Mus musculus: one gene and its partners. The protein of the gene in region 4 interacts with the protein of the main gene of each other region in a biochemical or structural test. Links are inferred from orthologs where the notes say so. Each region holds a gene or a part of one and is shown on either strand. Other genes may lie near its edges.

Region 1 (5,327 bases), on a different chromosome or scaffold from region 4:
AGCCACCATCCTTCCACTTCCCCACCTGTAACAAGCGAAACTTCCAACTTCCCTCACAACCCAAGCTCATTCTATACATGACTTGCAAGGCTTGGCTGGGTAATGAGCTGGGGACCTGTGGGGTCTGGATGGGGCGGTGGGGTGGTGGTGGTGGGGAGCACGAGTTGTTGAAGCTTACTTGGAGCCCAGGTGCCTGCCCAGCTCCATCCATACCTTGCCTTGGCACCCCTGAACCTCTTTTGCCTTTCTGAGTCAGGGGCTCATGCTGACCTCAAACACACTATGTAGCTGAACTCCTGACCTGGTGTGTGTGGAGCTGAGGACGGAGCCCAGGGCTCCTTTACAGGCTCGGTGACTGTTCTACCTACTGAGCCCCAGCCTCTCCTGCCTGTTTCTCTTTTTTCTCTCTCTTTTTTTTTCTTTACAGGTAAGCTTTCACTATGTAGCCCAAGCTGGCCTAGAACTCACAACCCTTCTGACTTTCTAGTACACAGGAATTACAGGTATGCCCTGGCATACTGGCTTGTGGTTTCTCTTTCTTATGAGAAAGATAATCTAGGGACTCAGGAATCCACCAGAGAGGTGTTACTTGGAGAAAAGAAACCCAGGAGGGAGGGACCCAGGTGAAAGAGTAGAATGTTGAAAACCTGGAAAACTTCTGCAAGAGGCTGGGCCATAGGCCATCCGTGTGCAACTCTTGAGAGCTCGCTCAGAGTTCTCTGGGACAGGGCCTTGGAATGTCTAAACAGTAAATTGATTCTCACCTGAGCTGAGCTTTGCAGGTTTGTAGGCAGGTGGGATGGGTGGCCCTCCAAGTGGGAAAGAGTCTAGTGGCTGCCTATGAGTCCCTGACAGGACCTGCTGGGAATCAGCAGGGGAGGGACCTCCGGGAACTCCATCTGAGGGATGTGGGGCCACAGGCATTCAAACAGAAGGACAGCCACAGAACCCAGGCTGGCATCACAGCCTAAGGAGTTCAGGCACTGGAGGTCTCTTGCCTACTGCATAGGTCCTACCACATCAACTCCATTGCTAGCCTCCCTATGAGGTCCACAGATAGAGCTCAGATGTCTTTATCCTTAGGCAACTGCTAGGCCCTTCCTTCTTTTCAGCCCTTGGGTGACAGCACCAGCTGGCTGCTCCCTCTGGCTGGGCCTCTCCAGACTGTGGGGAGAACCTTTCTCACAGGCATGGCCCAAGCAATTCCTTACACTGTTGCTCATCTCTCTGTGGAATCTACTCGAGCCAGCTCCACACCCAGGATTCTCGGGCTGTACTGCACAGCCACAGGATTAGCACATCTGGGGCTTCTTGGAACAGAAACCGGGCAACAAACTACGTGTTCACAGACCTCCCTGCAAAGATCCAGGGCTTGCATGACTATGGGTTGCAGGCTCTGAACTACTTGTTTGAATGGGGTTTCACTACATACCCTTGGAACTAACACTGTATACCAGGCTGGCCCTCAACTTGTAACAAAACCAGGGCTTCCTGTGTGGTAGGCAAGTACTCTACCAACTAGCTACACACCCAGATCTGTTGTCATTTTGAGATATGAAAGTTCTTACTTTGAAGCCCAGAGCCCGGGTCCTATCCTATCCTCTGCATTCCGAAAGCTATTCAGGAGTTCGAGAAGGGGAGCCAGCTGCTCCAACACTGGTGGGGTCTGGCCTCTGAGCTGAGTGAGACAAGCACTGGATTGGATGCACAGGCAGAAGACAGCCTCCTCCAGCCACACTAGCATCAACCCTGGTGACCTCTAGGGTATCAGACATAGCAGCCAAGCTGGCTCCACAGGCTTCACTTGGAACTCACTTGGCTTTTGATCCTCCTGCCTCAGCGGCCAGAGGGCCTGGGGTTACAGGCCTGCCAGGCTTTCCAGCAGTGTCCCATGTAAAATGCATGTCAAGCTGAGGTCATGGCTCAGGGTAGAGCTGTTGCCAGTGTGGTTGAGGTCCTGGGCTCCAACCCCAGCAAACATCCATCAAACGAGAGAGAAAGAGAGAGCGCACTCGCGAGCACAATCGATCTAGCAACCTGGAGGAAAAGGCAGAAGAAAAGAAACTCAAAACAGACAGGAGAAAACTCAGTCACGAACTTCTGGCCACTGAGGTTTGGTGACAAACATCTGTAACTCAGCACCGGGAGGCAGAGGCGGGAGGATAATGACTATGAGGCCACTCTGGCCTGACTGAGACAGAGATGAGACAACAAGGGTTTTCTCAAGCAGAAACCTGACAGAGCTGAGGGAACAGGCTCACTTGAGCCCAGGAGTTCAAGGCAAATATAAAACCTTCAACACACAAAGGTATCCTGTCATCCCAGCGCCTGAGAGGCAGGAAGATGGAAAATTCTGGGCCAGCCTGGACTACGAGCAAAACTTGGCCTCAAAAAACCCCCCAAAAGTTCCAGAGGGACATTACACTATAGGATGTCTGAAAGGAGCGCCTGCCTGCCTGGGGTAGGGTTCTCAATGTTTATACAACGGAGGCCAGGATGCCCACCCTACAGAACTCCTGAATGTCAACACAACCAGAAAGGAGAATTTCAGTTCAGAGTCATGATCGGATCGATTAAACACTAAACCCAAACCACCAAGTACCTATAGGAATCTATAGTATGGTACAGCCAACAAAAACGTATCTTTCAAAGAAGCATACATATGTTTTAGAAATAGGGACACAAACCTGACACATTTTGTAAACTGCAGAAGCCTGGAAAATTACTTTTCACTGTCTCTTTTCAACTTGCCACAGTGTCTACCAAGAGATTTTTCTTTCATTTTTGAGACAGGGTCTCCTTATGTTACGTAACCCTGGCTGGCCTCAAACTCAGAGATCTGCTTACCTGACTGCCTCAAGTGTGCAGGGATTAATGATGTATAACACCCAGTGAGCGAGAATGTTTGTTTTTGGTTTTTTAGGTTTTTTTTTTTTCAATCCGTCTTACAGACACCGGAGAGGGAAAAGAAGAATGGGACACTGATTATTTTTTAAGCCCTGTGTGGACTTGGTTTTTTTGGATATCAACCTAGACAAACATTTTCTGTGGCCTGAGGCTATGTGGTGAGAGTCTCGGAAGCATAGCCTGGAGACTTTGGGGGGGGGGGGGCTTGCCTTCCATGCTGCGATCCCAGGAATCGAACTTACGTTGTAAAGCCTGGCGGCAAGCCCCTCTCAATGAAGCCCTTTCGCCGGCCCTCCAGAGCTTTCTGAAAGCCGCCTAGACGCGCACACCCGGTGTCCCTCTTCAAAGCACGGGGACCCGGTCTCCCCTTCCCCGCTAGCCCAAGGGAAGCCAGCTCGGCTCGTCTGCGGTCCCCAAAGGCAGGCCCGAGACCAGATCGCCTGGCCTCGCCTCACCTGGCTCGCCTTGTAGAACTGCTTCTTCAGCCCCGCCACCGACATGCCGCCTGCCGCCGTCAGGCCTCCCGCTCGAACTCCGGTTTCCGCCGGCGCCGCCGAACCGACTTCTTTCCTCCGCGCGCAGGTCGGCGCCGCCACCGCCAAATCAGCTTGCCAGCTCTGCGCCCCCGCCCCGAAGCCACCTCGGCCGGCTAGCGCGCACGCGCGGCCGGGATATTACATGGCAACCGCACACTTCCGGTGACGCCCCCATATCGCCTCACCCCACCCTACAACGGCATCTGCGCGCGCTCCGCCTCTCTGCGCGTGCGCGCCCCCTGGAGGACAGAAAGAGCATTGCCGGGGGAGGAACGGCGGAAACCCTCCCACACCAACGAGATGAGGGGGCGCCTAGAGAGGCCAGAAATCTGTGTACGTGCGCGTGTACGCATGATGCAGCTCCCTCTAGAGTCCAGGAGTAGATATAAAGCCAAAAGTCAGTTTTAATTAATTAATATTTTATTTGTGCGTGGAGAAAGCGGAGCGGAATTTGCCAGCGAGAGTGTAATAAAGACAAAGCGAGGTAAAATGGAATATCTTAGGGGCTAGAGGAACGGTTGGTTCTCCAGGTAAAAGTGCTTGCTGCCCTGGCTGACATCGGGAGTTCAGTTCCTCGCATCCACATCAGGCTGCTTGCTCATAGCTAGCTGTCTGTAACTCCAGCTCCGGGTCACAGCCCTTTCCTGGCCTCCTTCAACTGCTCTCAAGTACACCGGGTCACATATATACCCATAACTTAAAAATTAATATGAGGTATGCCAGTGGTGATGCATGTACGCCTTTAATCCCGGCAGAGGCCCAAATGCTAACACGCCACCAGCCTTCTCTCTGGGGTCCTTCCTTCAGTGTCTCCCTTCTAATAAATCGCTGAGGATACAACTAGAAAAGAGAGTCCTTTATTTCCTTCTTCATAACTTTATTTCAGAGCAGATATTGCATAACCCAGGCTAAGCCTCAAACTTACTGTATAACCAAGGATGACCTTGAACTCCTGTCCAAGCTCCTCCACGTCCCAAGTGCTAAATCACAGGTGTGCACCAATGAGCCCCACTAGAAACATATTTTCAAAATAGTTCGCTCAGACTGTAGCTATCTCCTATTTCGAGTTCCATTGGTTCATTCCTGTCATGTACCAGCTATAGGACATCATTGCTTTTTTGCGCATTAGCCCTGCAGTGAGCTTCCTCTCATCATTAAGACAGAAAGAGGACTCTAATTGAATGATATCTGTGATGGCTTGTATATGCTCAGACCAGGGAGTGGCACTATTAGAAGTTGTGCCCCTGCTGGAGTAGGTGTGTCACTGTGGGTGTGAGCTTTAAGACCCTCATCCTAGCTGCCTGGAAGCCAGTATTCTGCTAGCAGCCCTCAGATGAAGATGTAGAACTCTCAGCTCCACCTTCACCATGTCTGCCTGGATATTGCTATGTTCCCGCCTGGATGATAATGAACTGAATCTCTGAACCTGTAAGCCAGTCCCAATTAAACATTGTTTTTTTTTTTTTAGATTTATTTTATTATTATATCTAAGTACACTGTAGCTGTCTTCAGACACACCAGAAGAGGGCATCAGATCTTATTAAGGATGGTTGTGAGCTACCATGTGGTTGCTGGGATTTGAACTCATGACCTTTGGAAGAGCAATCAGTGCTCTTACCCGCTGAGCCATCTCTCCAGCCCCCTAAACGTTGTTCTTATAAGAGTTGCCTTGGTCATGATGTCTGTTCACATTAGTAAAACCCTAACTAAGACAATATCTCTTCAATGAAGTCTCCCCAGGTTGACATATGTACCTTAACCCTTCTATCAACTGTTACAAATTTCAAAAACTATATAGAATATGCCAGGTGTGGCAATGCACACACCTTTAACCCAAGCCCCTGAGAAGCAGAGCAGATGGGTCTCCGAGTTTGCGGCCAGTCT
Region 2 (5,262 bases), on a different chromosome or scaffold from region 4:
AGGTCACTGTGACACATGCTTGAAACCCCAGCACTTGGAGGCAAGCCTGGGCAACATAGAAGTATGCAAAGTCCACTGCCATTCTTCCCATTTTTAGCAAAACTGAGGTCCTGAGAGGTTTGGTAACTACATCTAAGTCATTAACAATATGTGATGAAGTCCCATATTCTTCAGAGCTTGGCATTGCATGTAGCGCTCACCCACATAAAATCTGTAATTTATAGGACCCTGTGGTAGACTCTGTAAAAGGGAGTAAAGGTCGTATATCATAAGAGTCAAATTGGAAAGCATATGTATTGTCCATATTTTCTAAAAATGATTCTTTATGTTGGGATTATCATCATTTATAAAATGATACGTGATTAGACTCTACATTAAATTTTGAGCCCTCAGGGGCAACATCTACTAGACATCTTTCTAGCACATCACCCAGAAGGGCTGTACATTCAACACTGGTCAAGCTTAGGGGAACTGGCTAGGACACAGCGCTGTGACTACTCTGTGATGTGACCAACTTGGCAGGTAAAGACTCAAAACAGTGGGATGGAGGCAGTGTGGCTCACCCATCCACCCTGCAACGGTCTGAAAGGCACTGGCTTAGTTTCTAGGCAGGCCACACCAATTCTGCTCTTCTGAAACCCTCATCACAGTATGTAAAACCTCTGCTACTTGAAAAGCTTGCTATCCACTTCAGAGACGGTCTTAGGAGACACTCGGTAAGAGAGAAAAGCACAATGCCAAGGTTCTCCAAGTTCTCTCTCTGGCTTGGAGAAATTCCTGGAAACTGTATTGACAATACTGACTACTTCCCATTGTCTGACTGAGCTGGAGAGACAGAAACCTGGTAAGCTGATGTAAAGATATCTGAATGCCAGACTTAGATGGAGCCAGTAAGTGGAGCCATTCAGGAGGGAGTCACTAAAAAGAGAAGTCTGACATAAACCCAACCTCCATTAATTAATTTTCTTTAAGTCACAGGTTGAGCAAATTAAAAGGATGAGAGTCTAGAGACTGTAGCACAAGGCCCCAGGATCTAATGCCAGCAGTACCACACACAAAGACAACGTGAGGCTGCAGATGTAGCTAGGTGCTAGGCTACACTCTAGCATGCTCCAAGGCTTGGCTCAATCACCAAAAGAGAAAAAGCACAGGCAGAGGAATTTACCAGGGCCTCCCTTTTAAGCTCTTGCAAGTGTTTTAAGGGTGTATCTCAATCTAGGTTATTTGGGGAAAAGATAAAGAATGCCCAGAGGAAAAAGAAACTGCTAGTCAACAGCAAAAGAAAGAAAGAAAGAAAGGAAAAAAGGAAGGAAGGAAGGATGGATGTGGGCTGGAGAGATGGCTTAGCAGTTAGAGCACTGACTGCTCTTCCAAAGGTCCTGAGTTCAAATCCCAGCAACCACACGGTGGCTCACAGCCATCAGAACAGCTACAGTGTACTCATATAAATAAATAAATCTTTTTTTAAAAATTAAAAAGAAAGAAAGAAAGAGAGAGAGAGAAAGAGAGAGATTCAAAGAAAGAAAATGCTGAGGAACAAACATTTCAGGGAACTAACTTGCCGCTACTCATTTTATGCCCTATTTCACAATGCTCAGCATCTGAACAATCCACAGGGTTCCAAAGTACATTAAAATGTGTTCATTTCCTCTCTTACTCAGGCAGAATAATAATAGTTTTGTGGCGGTACCACAATCCTCAGCAATTTCAATGACAGACACTTTTTTTTTAAACACATACTCTCTGAGAGGTGCCTTACTGCAGCCACTTAAAAGTGTATAGAAATATCTATGCCCTGTCACCAAATCAGTGGCCTTCACTTCTTAATTTAAATCCTTTATAATTTCCTGAGTTCTTTACATATCTCCTACAGAAAGACGTTGCTTTTTAAAAACTTCTTAAGTTATAAGGGAACTCACACACACATACAAAATATTTCAAGCAAACTAGTGTAAAAAAAAAAAAGTAACAAAAATGGTAACCATAATGGTTGCTGAAACGTCTGCACTCTTCACCGTTAACATCTTCTAAAAATAAAAGTATCCCAACAAATAAATACATTCCTCTAGTTTGGAGCATTTAGAGAAACACCCTGCCAAGCAGCTGGCCTGCGGGCTCCTGGCCCCAGCTCCTGCCCTCACATCCTGTCCACTACATAATCCATGAGCAAGCCTTTCTCTTCATCAATTCAGCGGGATTAGTAAACCGGCCTCCCTGAAAATAGAACTGATATTTTCCACGGGCATTTGTTCCCATGCTTTCACTATCTATGCTATTTATCAGACTCTTTTTTTCTTTTTTATCCTCCGTGTTTCCGACCACGAAGTACCAAGAGAAAGATACCAACCGATAAACACAAAAGAACCGCATCTGGCCAGAGTCTGCATGCATTTACATTTCCAGGTTGCTTCTGTTTTCCGAAAAGCAGTGATGAGGGCAAAGTCGCAAACTTTCACATTCAAGATGCTACCAAATACCTCTACACCCTCAAGCTGCAGCAAGAAGCCACTAATCTATTCCTTCAAAAGCAAAGCCTGTAGTCTGAATCACAACAATAGAAGACTGCTCATAGGCAAGAGGATCAGCGAAGTTGTCTTCCAAAGCAAAGGCAAACAGAAGTGAAGGGAGATCCAGCCAGCTCCTCCTTGCTTTTCTTTCTTTCTTTTCTTTTTTTTCTTTCTGGGAATCCGGATTGCATTTTCTGGTGCCCCCCCCCACCCCCAAGAAGGGACCGCAATTATGCACTGGGTCCACAGCAGACACCCGAGTCAGTGCGTGCGCAAGGAGGGCGAAGCGGCCGAGAAGGGGACGCACGCCCGCTGCAAGGGTAGCCGCTTTCTGTTAAATGCCATCAGAGCCAGCCCCGGCCGCACCACTTCGGCCCAAACGGCATTGACCGCCCTTCACTTGACAGGGTATTCCAAGCAGGCGCTAGAGAAAAAGGATGAGCCGGGGACTCGAGGCCGGGGGCACCCGCGGGCGGCGCGATGCGGCTCCCGCGAGCTCGGGATCCCCGGGAGGCCGGGTCGGCCCGCCACCCTCCGGCGGCCGAGGGCAGAGGGGTCAGCGGTGGAAGGACCGCCCGCCGCGATGCCCCCCACGGGAGCGCCGGCCGTGGCTGCGGACGCCCATTCAGCCCGAACCCGTCCCGCGGCCGCCACCGCCGCGGCCCGCCCGCCCCGCTGCCCCCGGGGAGGATGAGAAAGACCGGGCGGAGCGGCGACGGCGGCCGCAGGGACGCGCGCCCGGCCGCTGGACCCGACCCCGGGGCGGCCATCGCCGACCCCCGCCCGCGCGCCAGGCCGCCCGCGTCAGCTCCTCACCTCATCTCCGGGCGGGTGCGCGCGGCCGCCCCTCACACAAATCAGTGCAGCCCGCACGCCGCGCGGAGGAACGCCGAGTCCGCAGCCGCGCACACCATCCCCGCCCGCCCGCCTGCCTGCCTCCCGGCCGTCCCGGAGCCCGCTCGGGATGCTCCCTTGCGAGCCGCCGTACTACGGAGCAACCAAGCTGCGCGCCCTCCCCGCGCCGCTCCACTCCTCTCGCCCTCCTTCGCTCCTTCGCTCCCTCACTCCCGCCTAACTCCTCATCTCCCTCCGCCGCCGCCCCTCCGCCCACAGCCTGCCCTCCGCCCCACCCATAGATGGGCGGGGATAACCGCCTGCCAATCGGACGGCGGAGACCACGCCTTCGCTCTCTCCTATGACTCCGCCCACTAGGTGGGCAAAAAAGAAGAAAGGAGCCAAAGGAAATAGAGGTGTACAGAGTGACAACGAGATACACCAATGAAGTAGTTTGGATAGCACCCCCCCACACACACACACTTTTTTCCCCTCCCATCCTTGTCTCGTCCCTTGAAGGCGTAACTAGAGGTTTCTGCTCTATGCGTGCGGAGATTTTGTTTCACGATTTGGCGCTTTGCTCTTTTCTATGCGCGACAGTAGCTAGGATACATTCAACTAAATTGAAGGTTTTGCAGAAAGAGCGTGGGCACGAAAGGCGAAAGACACAAAGACTGAAGAAAGATGGTAGGGGTTACGGTTGGAATGAGGAAGGGTGTGGCCTTTTACTCTAATTTGCATAAAACGGAACCCATCTTGGCAACGCCCAACTTCTCCCATTTATTGGTGGTCCCTGGGGCGGCGACTCGTCTCTCTACGGGAAGCAGCATGCTGGGAGATGTAGTTCCGGGTTCAGTTGCCATGGCGTTCGTCACAGCCTCCCCCAGATCGGTCATCCTGCGGTAGTGACGGGCAGTCTGACCAATGGCAGTACTGTTTGGACCCAAGAAGGCGGGCTCTCTGCAGAAGGACTGGGAAGGTGGCGGCGGCGAAGGCGCTGGCGGTTGAGGTTGCTCCGAGCCAGGTGAGCCAGGGAAGAACGATGTGTGTCTCTGAAATGGGACTTTGGGCGAAAAATGGAGAAACGCCTGAAGGAGCTGTCTAACCCTGGGGAGACTGGTACTTCGCATCACACGCCGACCTCAGAGATGCCCTGGCTCAGGCCTAGCTTGGCCGAGGCCGCCGAGGGGCGGGTAATACTAGATTTGACGGACAGTTCCTGACCCTGGCTAGGTTTTGATTGTAGACTGATCTTTGCTTCTTCCTCCGCGTTTATGGAGGCAAAGGTCTAGAACTGCCTTTCTCCTGGGTTGAGTCCTCCCCGCCCCCAGCTTCTCCCTATCACTGTTTCTGATGCTGTCTCTATTACTACTTCCCTTGTCACCCTTCTTATCCTTCTCTTTGCATTTCCAGTAAGCGGTTTCCTAAAGCAAACAAGGGTGGGTGTTCGCAGTAATGGGGCCTTGGGTCAGGAATTGCCTGCTTCATTGAGCCGGCCATACTTGAGCCATACTAAAGAATTATCCCAGGGTCGTGAGGAGGTGCAGATACTGATTCTGGATTTGGGCCTGGTGGTCTGCATTTGCTTTTTAAAAATTATATATATATATCTATATATGGCATTTTAAACAAACTGCCAAGTATAGCCAGTCCACAGTAGCTGAGTTTTGCATTGCCTGTCCAGGACAGATGTTCTAGGCACCCAGACGCTTTTAGATTTCCTGGGAGCCACATTTGGACAGTGAAGAGACCACGTGAAATTAATTTTACGTTTCTCTTAAACCAGCTTATCCAAATATTATTTCAACCTTTAAAGAAATCAGATATTTAAATGAGACAGTGTATCTGTTGTGCGTTTTACCCTCGCAGCATACCCTCGTACCCTCATCCTAAGGGCACGCCACTCACGTGCGGAGTAGCC
Region 3 (4,799 bases), on a different chromosome or scaffold from region 4:
CTTTCAGCTGAGATTTCCTCAAGGGTTTTCCTGCAGCTGGCATTGTGGGCTCAGTCCCAGGTTAGCGTGTAATCAACTCTGATAATGAATCGGGGACACCTAGGATCAGTCAGATCATAGTCTTCAGTAATGTGTTACTAAAATGACTTCTTCCACTAAAGTGGGTGGGAGTAACTCTTTAGGCACCTCTTGAAAACAAACAAACAAACAAACAAAAACAAAGAACAAAATGAGAAGAGGAATCGAGAGGTAATCTTTGACAAACAAACTCAATCTTCAGCCGAGATGTTTAAGAGATGTAGTTAGATATTTTAATAAATATAGCATTTTATTCTTAGTTTAGAGATGACTTTGAGAATAGTTTATTTTACACATGTTGTAAAGGAAACAAGACCCAGGCCCACGAGTTCACCACCGTTTCTTAGTTTAATCCACATACTCCTAGAGTTGAGATATGAAACAGGAATAAAACTGGAAGATGAGGATATGGTCAGGTATTTCTAGGATGCAGTGTACAAGCCCCAGAGTCTCTGCCCTGTTTCAGGCAGGAGGATGTGGGGACAGCACCCAAACCATGCTGCTGCCCCGTGAAGACCTGTATTTGGCCTTGCAGTATAATTCTACTTGGAGTTGAAGTTTAGAGTTGATGTATATTCAGTTGCCCACATATTGTACCCAAGGGCTGTAGGCCCAGTGAAGGTGCAGCTTTAGGAGCCGAGTAGATGTCTGGGCTGATTGGAGCTTGGTTCTCCAGCCAGCCCAGTTCCCATTATGAATAGTGATGCTATCTCCTAAAGGCTGTTCTCCCTTTGTCTCCAGCTTCCAGGGCTAAGCTCAGTATGATCAACACCATGTCGAAAATCCGCGGCCAAGAGAAGGGGCCAGGCTACCCTCAGGCGGAAGCACTGCTGGCAGAGGCCATGCTCAAGTTCGGCAGGGAGCTGGGTGATGATTGCAACTTTGGTAAGTAGCCTTGGCCATACTGCAGGTCTCCAAGGAGGTTGTGGTGCTGATTAAAAAACAAAACAAAACAACAAAGCAAAACCCACTAACAACAGCAAACTCGAGATCATCAGTCAGCCTGCTTATATTTTAATTCTCACTTGTAGATGTTATATATGGGGGATGAAATGTGATTTTAGGACTGCCAGTGTTTAAAGTGATTTGTCTACGCAGCTTTTGTCCTTTTCCTCTAATGGGACCCCAGCCTTGACAACAGTTCCGGCAGACATGCCCAGATGCCTTGGCACTTTCCTGGGTGTATCTGGCAGGAGCTGCGTATTAAAGCAGATCGAGCAGTCACAATCAGCGTGAATTCCTACACTGGCACCTGGGCTCTCTAGGATTAATCCACTGCTCATTTGTTTGGGATCCCTGATTCTGTTGCTCCAGGCAAAATAGAATTTATTCTATCTCCTCTCTTGCCTGGCTCTCAGGACCCTAAGCACCTTCTGCCTTCAAGCACCTTCTGCCTTCACTCCTATTGACATGGGACCTCTCTAGTCCCTTTTTCCTCAGTTTTTAGTATCTGCTTCTGCTAAAAGCATTGAGCTGCAACTGATCTCATATTAATGAGAACTAGTGCCTATCACAGAGAACAGAGAGCCTTGCAAAATAGTATTCAGAGTAAAATATCCAGTTCCTGGTAAGGAGGGATACTCCTCCTTTTAAAGGGTCCATGGAGCCTGGTTTTCAGAATGACTGTGGTAAATAGAAAAACTTCTTTTGTCTTGAGAACACTATGGGCTTTCTTAGACTCTGTTGCTGTTATAGGACAGAGGCAATCCCTACACAGCCATCTTGAAGGCTGTTGTTGCAAAGAGTGCTTGTCTTTATTCTTCAGGGTGTGAGATCTTCATTTTCCCCTCTCAGGTCCTGCTCTCGGTGAGGTGGGAGAAGCCATGAGGGAGCTCTCGGAGGTCAAGGACTCATTGGACATGGAAGTGAAGCAGAATTTCATCGACCCCCTTCAGAATCTTCATGACAAGGATCTGAGGGAGATTCAGGTCTGTGCGATCCTTCTTCTCACACACACGCAGATTCTCATTTCCCAGACAGTCTCCCTGGGATACACAGAAGAGGGCACGTGAATTTCCTACAGCTCCATAAGATGAAAGGCACTGGAGACCAAGGGCCATCAATCCAGGATCACAGCTGCAGCCCTGCAGCTCCTGAGCAGAGCATTGGTTCCTCTGTCTTCAACTTCCTTGTTAAACAATCTTCCCACCATTTTTTTTTTCTTAAAAAAAAGCCCCTTAATTTTTTTTTAAATGTAGCCCTGGTTGTCCTAGAATTTGCTCTATAGATCATGCTGGCCTCACACTCACAGAAATCCACCTGCCTCTGCCTCAGTAGTGCTGGGATTAAGGGCTTGCATCACTGCCACCCAGCCAAAGGGATGTCCTTTATCCGGGACTTTAAACTCTGTTAATGATGGATGAGGCTGATGGGGTCCCCAAATATTAGTTGTACTTCTATCAGTTTAAATAAGTAGCTACTATATTACTCTTCGATTTTTATATTTTCCTTATTGTTGTTGGTGTTTAGAAGGAATAACCACGCTTTGTGAAACATACAGAAAAGCTGAGATATCTCTGATAAATTAAGCTGGTGTTGCCTCTGAGTGGCCGTGAGTTCAAATGCTTCTACAGCACCCCCTTGCCAAAAGAAAGCACACTTAGTTGGGATTAGAGTGTTAGTTGGGGGTGGGAGATGCGGTGAGAGGAGCAGGGTGTAGAACAAAACCCATCCTTTATCTTGCCAGTTCTCTACCACCCCTGACTCTGTTTCTATCTTCTCTTCTTCCTCCCTCGTCCATACACACTAAGGAACAGAGGAAAAAATCACTTTTTTCTCCCACCAGTTAGTCGTAGAATGCTACAGCTATTAAGAAAGGAAACTACTGTTGATCTTCAGGAAAACAAAACAGAACAAAACTACTTATCCTCATCTTTAGAGAGGTTATGAACCTTACCATATGGAGATACTACAGTGAGGGATTAAAGCTACAGGTGTGTGTGTGTGTGTGTGTGTGTGTGTGTGTGTGTGTTAGGGGAGGTAGTGCTGATAGAAGATCCTCCAAGGTCCCTTGCAGTTTGGGTTTGTGACTGAGTTGTGTCACCTGTCCTTGGAGAGGTAAACTCATCTGTCCCCTAAAAGCTACCTCTGTCAAATGGGGCAGGTGTTGTGATGCAGATCACTAGGCTCAGCCTGGCTTTTCTGACTTAGGTGATCAGATATTCTTACCTAACATACTAGGTGACTCTGGTAAACTAGATTAATAAAAAAGGAATTTCATTTTTTTCTACCTTTACCTCAGAAAAGAGGGCTTTCCCATTTCTCACGAGGAAGGTGACTGGCAGGCTCTTGTGTGTAGCATTTTCTTGAGGTGGAAGGTATGGGTGATGCCTATCCACATGCCCTTCTTGTCATTTGGAGAAGAGATATAGTTCAACTTGGCTTTGGCCTGGGAATGCTTAGCAAAAGGACATTGGTCTTTCAGTGACTTGTTTCTCATTCTGAATTATTTGTCAAGGTGTCCCTCTACAGTTAGCCACTAGAAGCATTTGCGTTGCTGGTACATGTGTCTTCATTTCTCTGGTGACATGCAATTTCAAACTCAGCCAGTCACATTTTGGAAGCTACTAGGAATGTAAGAAAAATGAGGTACAAGAAGGTCTTTTCCATAATATGTCCTTTGGAAGCATGTTCCTGCCCTTGGCTCTTTCAGCATCATCTGAAAAAGCTGGAAGGCCGACGCTTAGACTTTGATTATAAGAAGAAGCGACAAGGCAAGATTCCAGATGAAGAACTCCGCCAAGCTCTGGAGAAATTCGATGAGTCTAAAGAAATCGCCGAGTCGAGCATGTTCAACCTCTTGGAGATGGATGTAAGCTGCTTTTCTCTGGGTTTTCATTTAATTTTACCATCGAGGCATAGCACTGATGTGTTGAAAGACATATCATGTGACATGATACCATCTGGTTCCTCTGTGTGATAAGAACACACAGGGGCCACTTATCTTAGTGATTTATCATACAGACAACATGGAAATGGAATTCATTTCTTTATCCTTATAGATTGATTGAACCAGAACTATTTTTAATGGATTTTAAAGTATTGCCAGTAAGTGCAGAGATAATGACTCTGATAACCCACATATAAATCCAACATATTACAAACTACTGTTTTAATATAGAGCATATGACCTGCATTATGAATAAATTACATTCAGAATTGAGTTTCTGAAGTTATAAAGTTGTCAATACATAGAAGTGATCTTGAAATTTTCATAGAAAAATACATAAATTAGAATTGATGATTCATTCAGGGCATGGCTGAGATGGTTTAGAAGTTGCCCCTGCATCACCAGAATTCTAAATTATCACTTATGGCTTCGGACATTAACTTCTGTTGAGTTCATTCAGCTGTAAAGCCACATGAACAGTGCTTTCTTCCTTATTTCACACATGTATAGATTTGAATAACTGGATTTCTTGTCCTGGACCATCTCCACCATCTAACCCCAGAGTTCATCTGGGACGTTTGTAGGGCTTTGTGTACTCATCACTGGAGGAATCTCCAGAGAAACAAAACCATAGGGTTATAGGTACAGGTGGTATGGATGCAGGGTGCATAGCTGGAGATCAAGGGAGAAAGGGGAAGTTTCTCATGAGGAGGCTGATTGAGGCTCAGAAGCTCCACATATACCTCCAGATAGGTGGGGAGCCAGTGAGGCTGGAAACATAGTTCAGACTGATTCTAAAGGCCTGAGAATGAACGTTGGCATTGGCAAATTG
Region 4 (5,325 bases):
CTTACGGATGGTTGTGAGCCACCATGTGGTTGCTGGGATTTGAACTCATGACCTTTGGAAGAGCAGTCAGTGCTCTTAACCACTGAGCCATCTCACCAGCCCGAGAGTGTGGTTTTAACAGTAAGTTTTACCACTGTGTTTAAGGGGTGAAATCATAATACTTAGCTGGCAGGAGAGACGTCATGATCTAGAAAGTGGTTTTCCCAAGGTGTGCTGACCCTGTGAGGTCCCCAAATGTGGGGAAACTCAACTGCACTATTTGTAGCAGTGGAGCACTAGAGTCACACTTTCCCCTCAGAAGGATAAAGAAGAATAACAAAAGCTCAGTTGCAATGGTCCAGACAGACATCTTCAAACTGTATGCCCAGCCTAACTTGATGGTGCTGGTCACCTTGGCTCACATCCCTGTCCTCTCTAGGCTGGCTGAGAATAGCGGCTCTGGATGAGGGGTATTGGGGCTGGTGTTTCAGCTCCTGGATTTCTGATGTGGTTGGCATGGTTGTTAATGAGGGTCAATGCACACCAGGTCTGGGCTGGGCCTCACACAGACATTCTATTTTGTCATTGTGCCAACTCTACAGATTAGATAGCTATGACCCAGAAATGACCCAGAGGTAAGGTCTGGGTGGTTCTCCCCTAACTGGAAATCCCTTCTCACTGGGCTCATGGTCCACACACTTCTAGTCTCTGTTCCAGCATTATTATCCTGTATGAGTTAACAACACAAGCCCTGCCCCAGCCCTGCTCTCCACTCATCACCCCCGGAAAGAGTCATATTTATTGGCATATGACCCCTCCCTTTTCCACTTGACTTTGAGCCACTTGTAGGTGGCTTGTCACTGCCTTGTCTCTGGGGTCTAGCGGGAGCTAGCCTGCTCAGCAACCACACATTCAGTGGGTGAAAAAAATGGATAGTCTCTAATGCCTAGGGCACTTCCCTAGTCTCAGAACATAGAAGTGACCCGATAACCCTCTCTTTCTTGGCTTCTTTGTCAGGAGTCCTAACTAGGTCCTTCTTGATGCAAAAGTGAGTAGCCGAACCTAGATCCAACTATCTGTCTGTGTGAAAAGGACAGGCAAGTATGGCTGCAAGAACCCCTGGTTTGAATAGCACTATTTGCCACTCTGGGCCTGGCGCTCATCCTCTTGGAGCCTTAGAGTTCAAGACAAGAACTTTTGCCTCTCCTCGGCAGCACTTCCTAGGTATTGGGGCCTTTGCACTTCCTGTCCACTCCATCAGGGTGTCGGGCCCCTTCTTATCAGTTAGGTTCCCTTTCAAAGGTAATTTCTTTGGAAAACCTTTGCCCCCTTCTGGCTAATGTGACTTTCCAAGCCCTGTTGGTTTTCTCTGTTTCTTCTAGTACAAACGCTCTTCTGTGTCCCGTCTATCCCACCACCTGTAAGATCTCTGAGTGTAAAGTCCCTAGCTGTTCTGCCGAGTTTTGTGTCTGTAAACTTAGGAAGGGGTCTAGCTTATCATGGGCTCCTGGTAATTTGTTGAATCAATGGTTTTTCTTTCTTCCTCCTAGAACCAGAAACACTGAGGCCCCAGGATAGGAAGGAATATGCTGCAGATTTTTGATTAGTGTCAGAACCTAGACTAGAAAGGCTAAGTGGACTAGGGTTGACTTTGGTCAGCTGACTGCAGCAGCCTGTGGGTGCCAGATCTTCCCTCTAAGGCCTCAGTTTCTCCACTGGGAATAACTGCTGAAATGAAGTAATCATGACCACCACATACTAGCCCATTTCTAGAGTTAGCACCCCTAGCCATCACCAAAAGTATTATCTTCGGTGCAGCATCCGTATCCCAGAAACACAGGTAAGTCTCCCGAAAGCCGCAGAAGAAGAAAACGACAACACCCATGGCGCCCCGCGTTGCGTCTGCGCATAGTGACCAGTCCGCGAATCCCCGCGCGCCATCTAGCGGCGGCCTGGAGAAGCGCTCCGCTCGGATCCCCGAGGGGCGGGGGACCCGCGGCGCACGCAGTCGGGATATTCGGCTGCAGCCGCGAAGCCGGGGGCCAAGAGCCAGAGCAGGAGCGGCGGCCGGATCGCAGCCCGCCGGGCCCGCCGCAACCATGGGCAACCGCGGCATGGAAGACCTCATCCCGCTGGTTAACCGGTTACAGGACGCCTTCTCCGCCATCGGCCAGAACGCGGACCTCGACCTGCCGCAGATCGCCGTGGTAGGCGGCCAGAGCGCCGGCAAGAGCTCGGTGCTGGAGAATTTCGTGGGCAGGTAGGAGCGGCGCGGACACCCGCATCACGGTGCCCCGGGTCCCCACCCCGGGATCCGACGGTCTGGGCGCTGCTCTAGCGGACCGAGCGCCCCCGCCCCCCGCTTGAGTCCTGGGGTCCGCAGCGCCCCCGCCAGCCCGCGGATATCAGTGGAGTCCCCCCACTCACGCCCCCTCGTTCACCCCATCGTCTGTAGAGCGACCTCGGCAGAGAGCTGTCCTTGATCGCCAATACCCTCACCGAGGGGGCCCACATTACTCAGCGCCTCACTGGGAGCTGAGAGCACCCAGAGGGCAATATCCCCTTCCTGGGCTCCTTGGAACCCGCTCTGACCCCATGGGAATTCCTGGTCGTGACAGGGGACAGCCCCCTCCCCCAGTCCCTAGAAAAGGACACAGCCCCATAGGCATCGGAGACCAGGCACAACCCCCCCACCCCGCACACGCACAGGCGCGCGCGCGCGCGCGCGCACACACACACACACACACACACACACACACACACACACACACACACACACACCTCTGCGGCTCCCGCCGCCATCCGTGCGCAGAGAGGCAGAGGGGGAGGCGCGGGCTGCGGTGCGAGGAAAGGAAGGGGGGGGATGGCAGCGGGAGGAGAAGCGGCCTGTGAGCCTCTACGGAGCAGCCTGCCTTCGCTGCACCCCTTGGGAAGGGGCTGCTTGTCAGCGTCCTCCTCCCCTGGCCTGGCAGAAGGGTTGTGATGGAGAGAAAAGGCGGCAGAGGGCAGAGATGACTAAGTCCAGGAGGCAGGATGGCGAGGAGGGGGGTGGTGAGCCATTGCAGAACCTAATCCTCCTCTGGCCTCTGATCCCACAAGGCTCTGGGAAGGCCAGGTGGCAGAGTGGAGGAGAGCCTTAGAGACAAAGGGTCTTGGACTTAGAGGGGGCAAGCAGGGTCGTGACCCCCCTCCGCACCACCTCCCTAGGCTCCTTTGGAGCTAGGGAAGACAGAAGTGGCATTTCTGGTTCTTAGAAAGAGCAGCTCATTCTAAGCTCAGGTGCACTCTGGGAAGGGGACTGCCAGGACCAGAGAGGATGCACCAGTGCTAACCTTGACCCCTCACCCGCTAGGTGCAAGCTCTCATCTTTCTAGAAAGTCTTGCTTTCTTGCAATGACCTTCATGGCTAAGGAAATGACAGGCGTGAGGGAGAGGGAGGCGGCGGCGGCCCCTCCTTCCAGAGAGGAACAAGCATTCTGTGGGGTGACAGCTGGGTCTAAGCCAGGTGCTGCTGGAAAACCTTGGGCAAGTCACTTGCCTTTACCAAACCTCAGTGTAGTATGGACAGACTGGAGGGTTGATGCCACCACTTACACGTCCTGGGAAGCCACTGTGAACCCACCCCGGGGTGGGGGTGGGGTGGCGGGAGGAAGGGGGCCTGAGTGAGAACCATGTAGTGGTGAGATGTAGACGTGCCACAGTGGAAGTAGCTCTGTCTGTCTTGTCAGCAGAGAGGAGCAGCTGTCTCTGGATCATGTGACCCCAGAGCTGCAGATACAGGCAAGAAACCATATAGATGAGCCCCTTCCCGGGGGTCCAGCAGTCAGGGCTGTTGGGGATGGAGGAATGTCCAGCGCCCTGAAGACAGGGCCGTGGAGGGGTGTCGTGCACTTTACAGTGTGCATACCACAGCCCCATCTCCCATGCTCTGAGCATTTGCTGTTCTAAGCCAGACTGTGTGCTCTAGTTAGGGGGTGCAAACTGGAGCCCTTCCCTGCTTTGCTGTAGCCCCTGTGATGCAAACACAGTGGTGTCCACCCTATAGACGGGCAACTGAAATTAGATGCTTTTCTCAAGGTCACATATTCCCAAAGAGTGACACCTGTCAGACTCCATCTTGATCCTGCATTGGTCATGGGGACTGATTGGAGTGTAGACATCTGATTTCCCATTTGTAGAATGGGGACCCCTGGAAGCTTACCCGGACCTCCTAAACCAGTACAAAAGCCATTTGCTAAATCCATGGAAGAGAGACGCTTTGAGAGTCTAGAGACTGGGAACCTGTCCATGACGTTTTGCCCAGTGCAGTACCCAGCCCAGACCACAGCAGGTGATAGCCACAACTGTTGACCTGTCGAGAGGCCGCTGCTCCAGCCAGGAGGGCGTGGAAGATGCCCAGATGCAGGTCTGGGACGGAGGAGGAGCAAGCGGGCAGGCTTGTTAGCCCTTAAAAGCTAGTGAAGAAGCCACAAAATGAGCAGCAGCAGTACTGAGGCTAGGGGTGGGGTCAGGCTCCAGCCAGCCCCACCCGTGACCGACCTCACAGATTCCCTACCTCTCTGCCTAGCTCTGGGTCCCCAGACTCGTGAACATGGTAACAACAGCTCTTTCTCCTGGGCCTTTCAGAGCGCCAAACCCCCACGGAGAGGAAGTGGGAAACTCCCTAGAGGAAACAAGCCAATTCAGGCCAGGCAGGCTCCCAGGCATCCAGGAGGACCTCGTGTCAGCTCTGCAATGGAGGTGACCCAGCAGCTGTCCGGGACCCTGCTAGGTCTTGTCTGAGTCTCTGCTGTTCCTTTCCCTTCCCTTTACAGAGGCCAGCTCACTCAGTCATTTAGCTGTCATTCTTGGAAGGTCCACAGCGGTCACACTAGAGAGTCTTTGGTGAAGCTGTGCATTCTAGAGAGAGAAACCGAGACACCTGTAAGCTGCACTCTGTCTCCCAGGAGTTGGGCTGCCTTTCACACGGAGGGCTCAGAAGGTCTTAGAGGAAGGTTGCACCCAGGAAAACCAAGCAGGGCCAAGCTATGTGAGAAGCTGGGAGAAAATAATCCCAGGCCAGTGAACAGCAGTTCAAAGGGCCTGGGGCAGGAAAGGGTCAGTTTGAGATACAAACAGGCACCACAAGGTTTAGGCAGGAACGGTGGGACAGGTGTAGACAGGACCTCCATCTGTGAGCCCTCAGGCCATGGCGAGGGATTTGGTTTGTTTTCAAGATCCTTGGAGTGGTAGGGTGACCTGAGATGCTTCTGACAAATGGGAGACAGGAAGGAGGCAAGAGCCACGTCTAAGGACACCCCTCCAGGGATGCCGGAGAATGTGGGCTTAGATCTGTGTGGGGCCAGG

What was found.
Region 1: the proteins of Dnm1 (region 4) and Sh3gl1 form a complex in vitro, tested with the Homo sapiens proteins (2 studies listed by BioGRID and IntAct, with this or other methods). The link is inferred for Mus musculus from reciprocal best matches to the Homo sapiens genes DNM1 and SH3GL1.
Region 2: the proteins of Dnm1 (region 4) and Itsn1 form a complex in vitro, tested with the Homo sapiens proteins (2 studies listed by BioGRID and IntAct, with this or other methods). The link is inferred for Mus musculus from reciprocal best matches to the Homo sapiens genes DNM1 and ITSN1.
Region 3: the proteins of Dnm1 (region 4) and Sh3gl2 form a complex in vitro, tested with the Homo sapiens proteins (2 studies listed by BioGRID and IntAct, with this or other methods). The link is inferred for Mus musculus from reciprocal best matches to the Homo sapiens genes DNM1 and SH3GL2.

Annotation. Positions count from the first base shown.
Region 1 is NC_000083.6:56,033,053-56,038,379, forward strand, and holds the start of Sh3gl1 (endophilin-A2), read right to left. Parts: upstream 3,586-5,327; 5' UTR 3,408-3,585; coding exon 3,363-3,407; intron 2,038-3,362; exon of another isoform or gene 1,816-2,037; intron 1-1,815. UniProt on the Homo sapiens protein: Implicated in endocytosis. May recruit other proteins to membranes with high curvature.
Region 2 is NC_000082.6:91,727,661-91,732,922, reverse strand, and holds the start of Itsn1 (intersectin-1), read right to left. Parts: upstream 3,553-5,262; 5' UTR 3,324-3,552; intron 3,316-3,323; exon of another isoform or gene 2,388-3,315; coding exon of another isoform or gene 2,348-2,387; intron 1-2,347. UniProt on the Homo sapiens protein: Adapter protein that provides a link between the endocytic membrane traffic and the actin assembly machinery. Acts as a guanine nucleotide exchange factor (GEF) for CDC42, and thereby stimulates actin nucleation mediated by WASL and the ARP2/3 complex.
Region 3 is NC_000070.6:85,375,522-85,380,320, forward strand, and holds part of Sh3gl2 (endophilin-A1), read left to right. Parts: intron 1-819; coding exon 820-963; intron 964-1,872; coding exon 1,873-2,006; intron 2,007-3,730; coding exon 3,731-3,889; intron 3,890-4,799. UniProt on the Homo sapiens protein: Implicated in synaptic vesicle endocytosis. May recruit other proteins to membranes with high curvature. Required for BDNF-dependent dendrite outgrowth.
Region 4 is NC_000068.7:32,349,963-32,355,287, reverse strand, and holds the start of Dnm1 (dynamin-1), read left to right. Parts: upstream 1-1,958; 5' UTR 1,959-2,078; coding exon 2,079-2,239; intron 2,240-5,325. UniProt on the Homo sapiens protein: Catalyzes the hydrolysis of GTP and utilizes this energy to mediate vesicle scission and participates in many forms of endocytosis, such as clathrin-mediated endocytosis or synaptic vesicle endocytosis as well as rapid endocytosis (RE).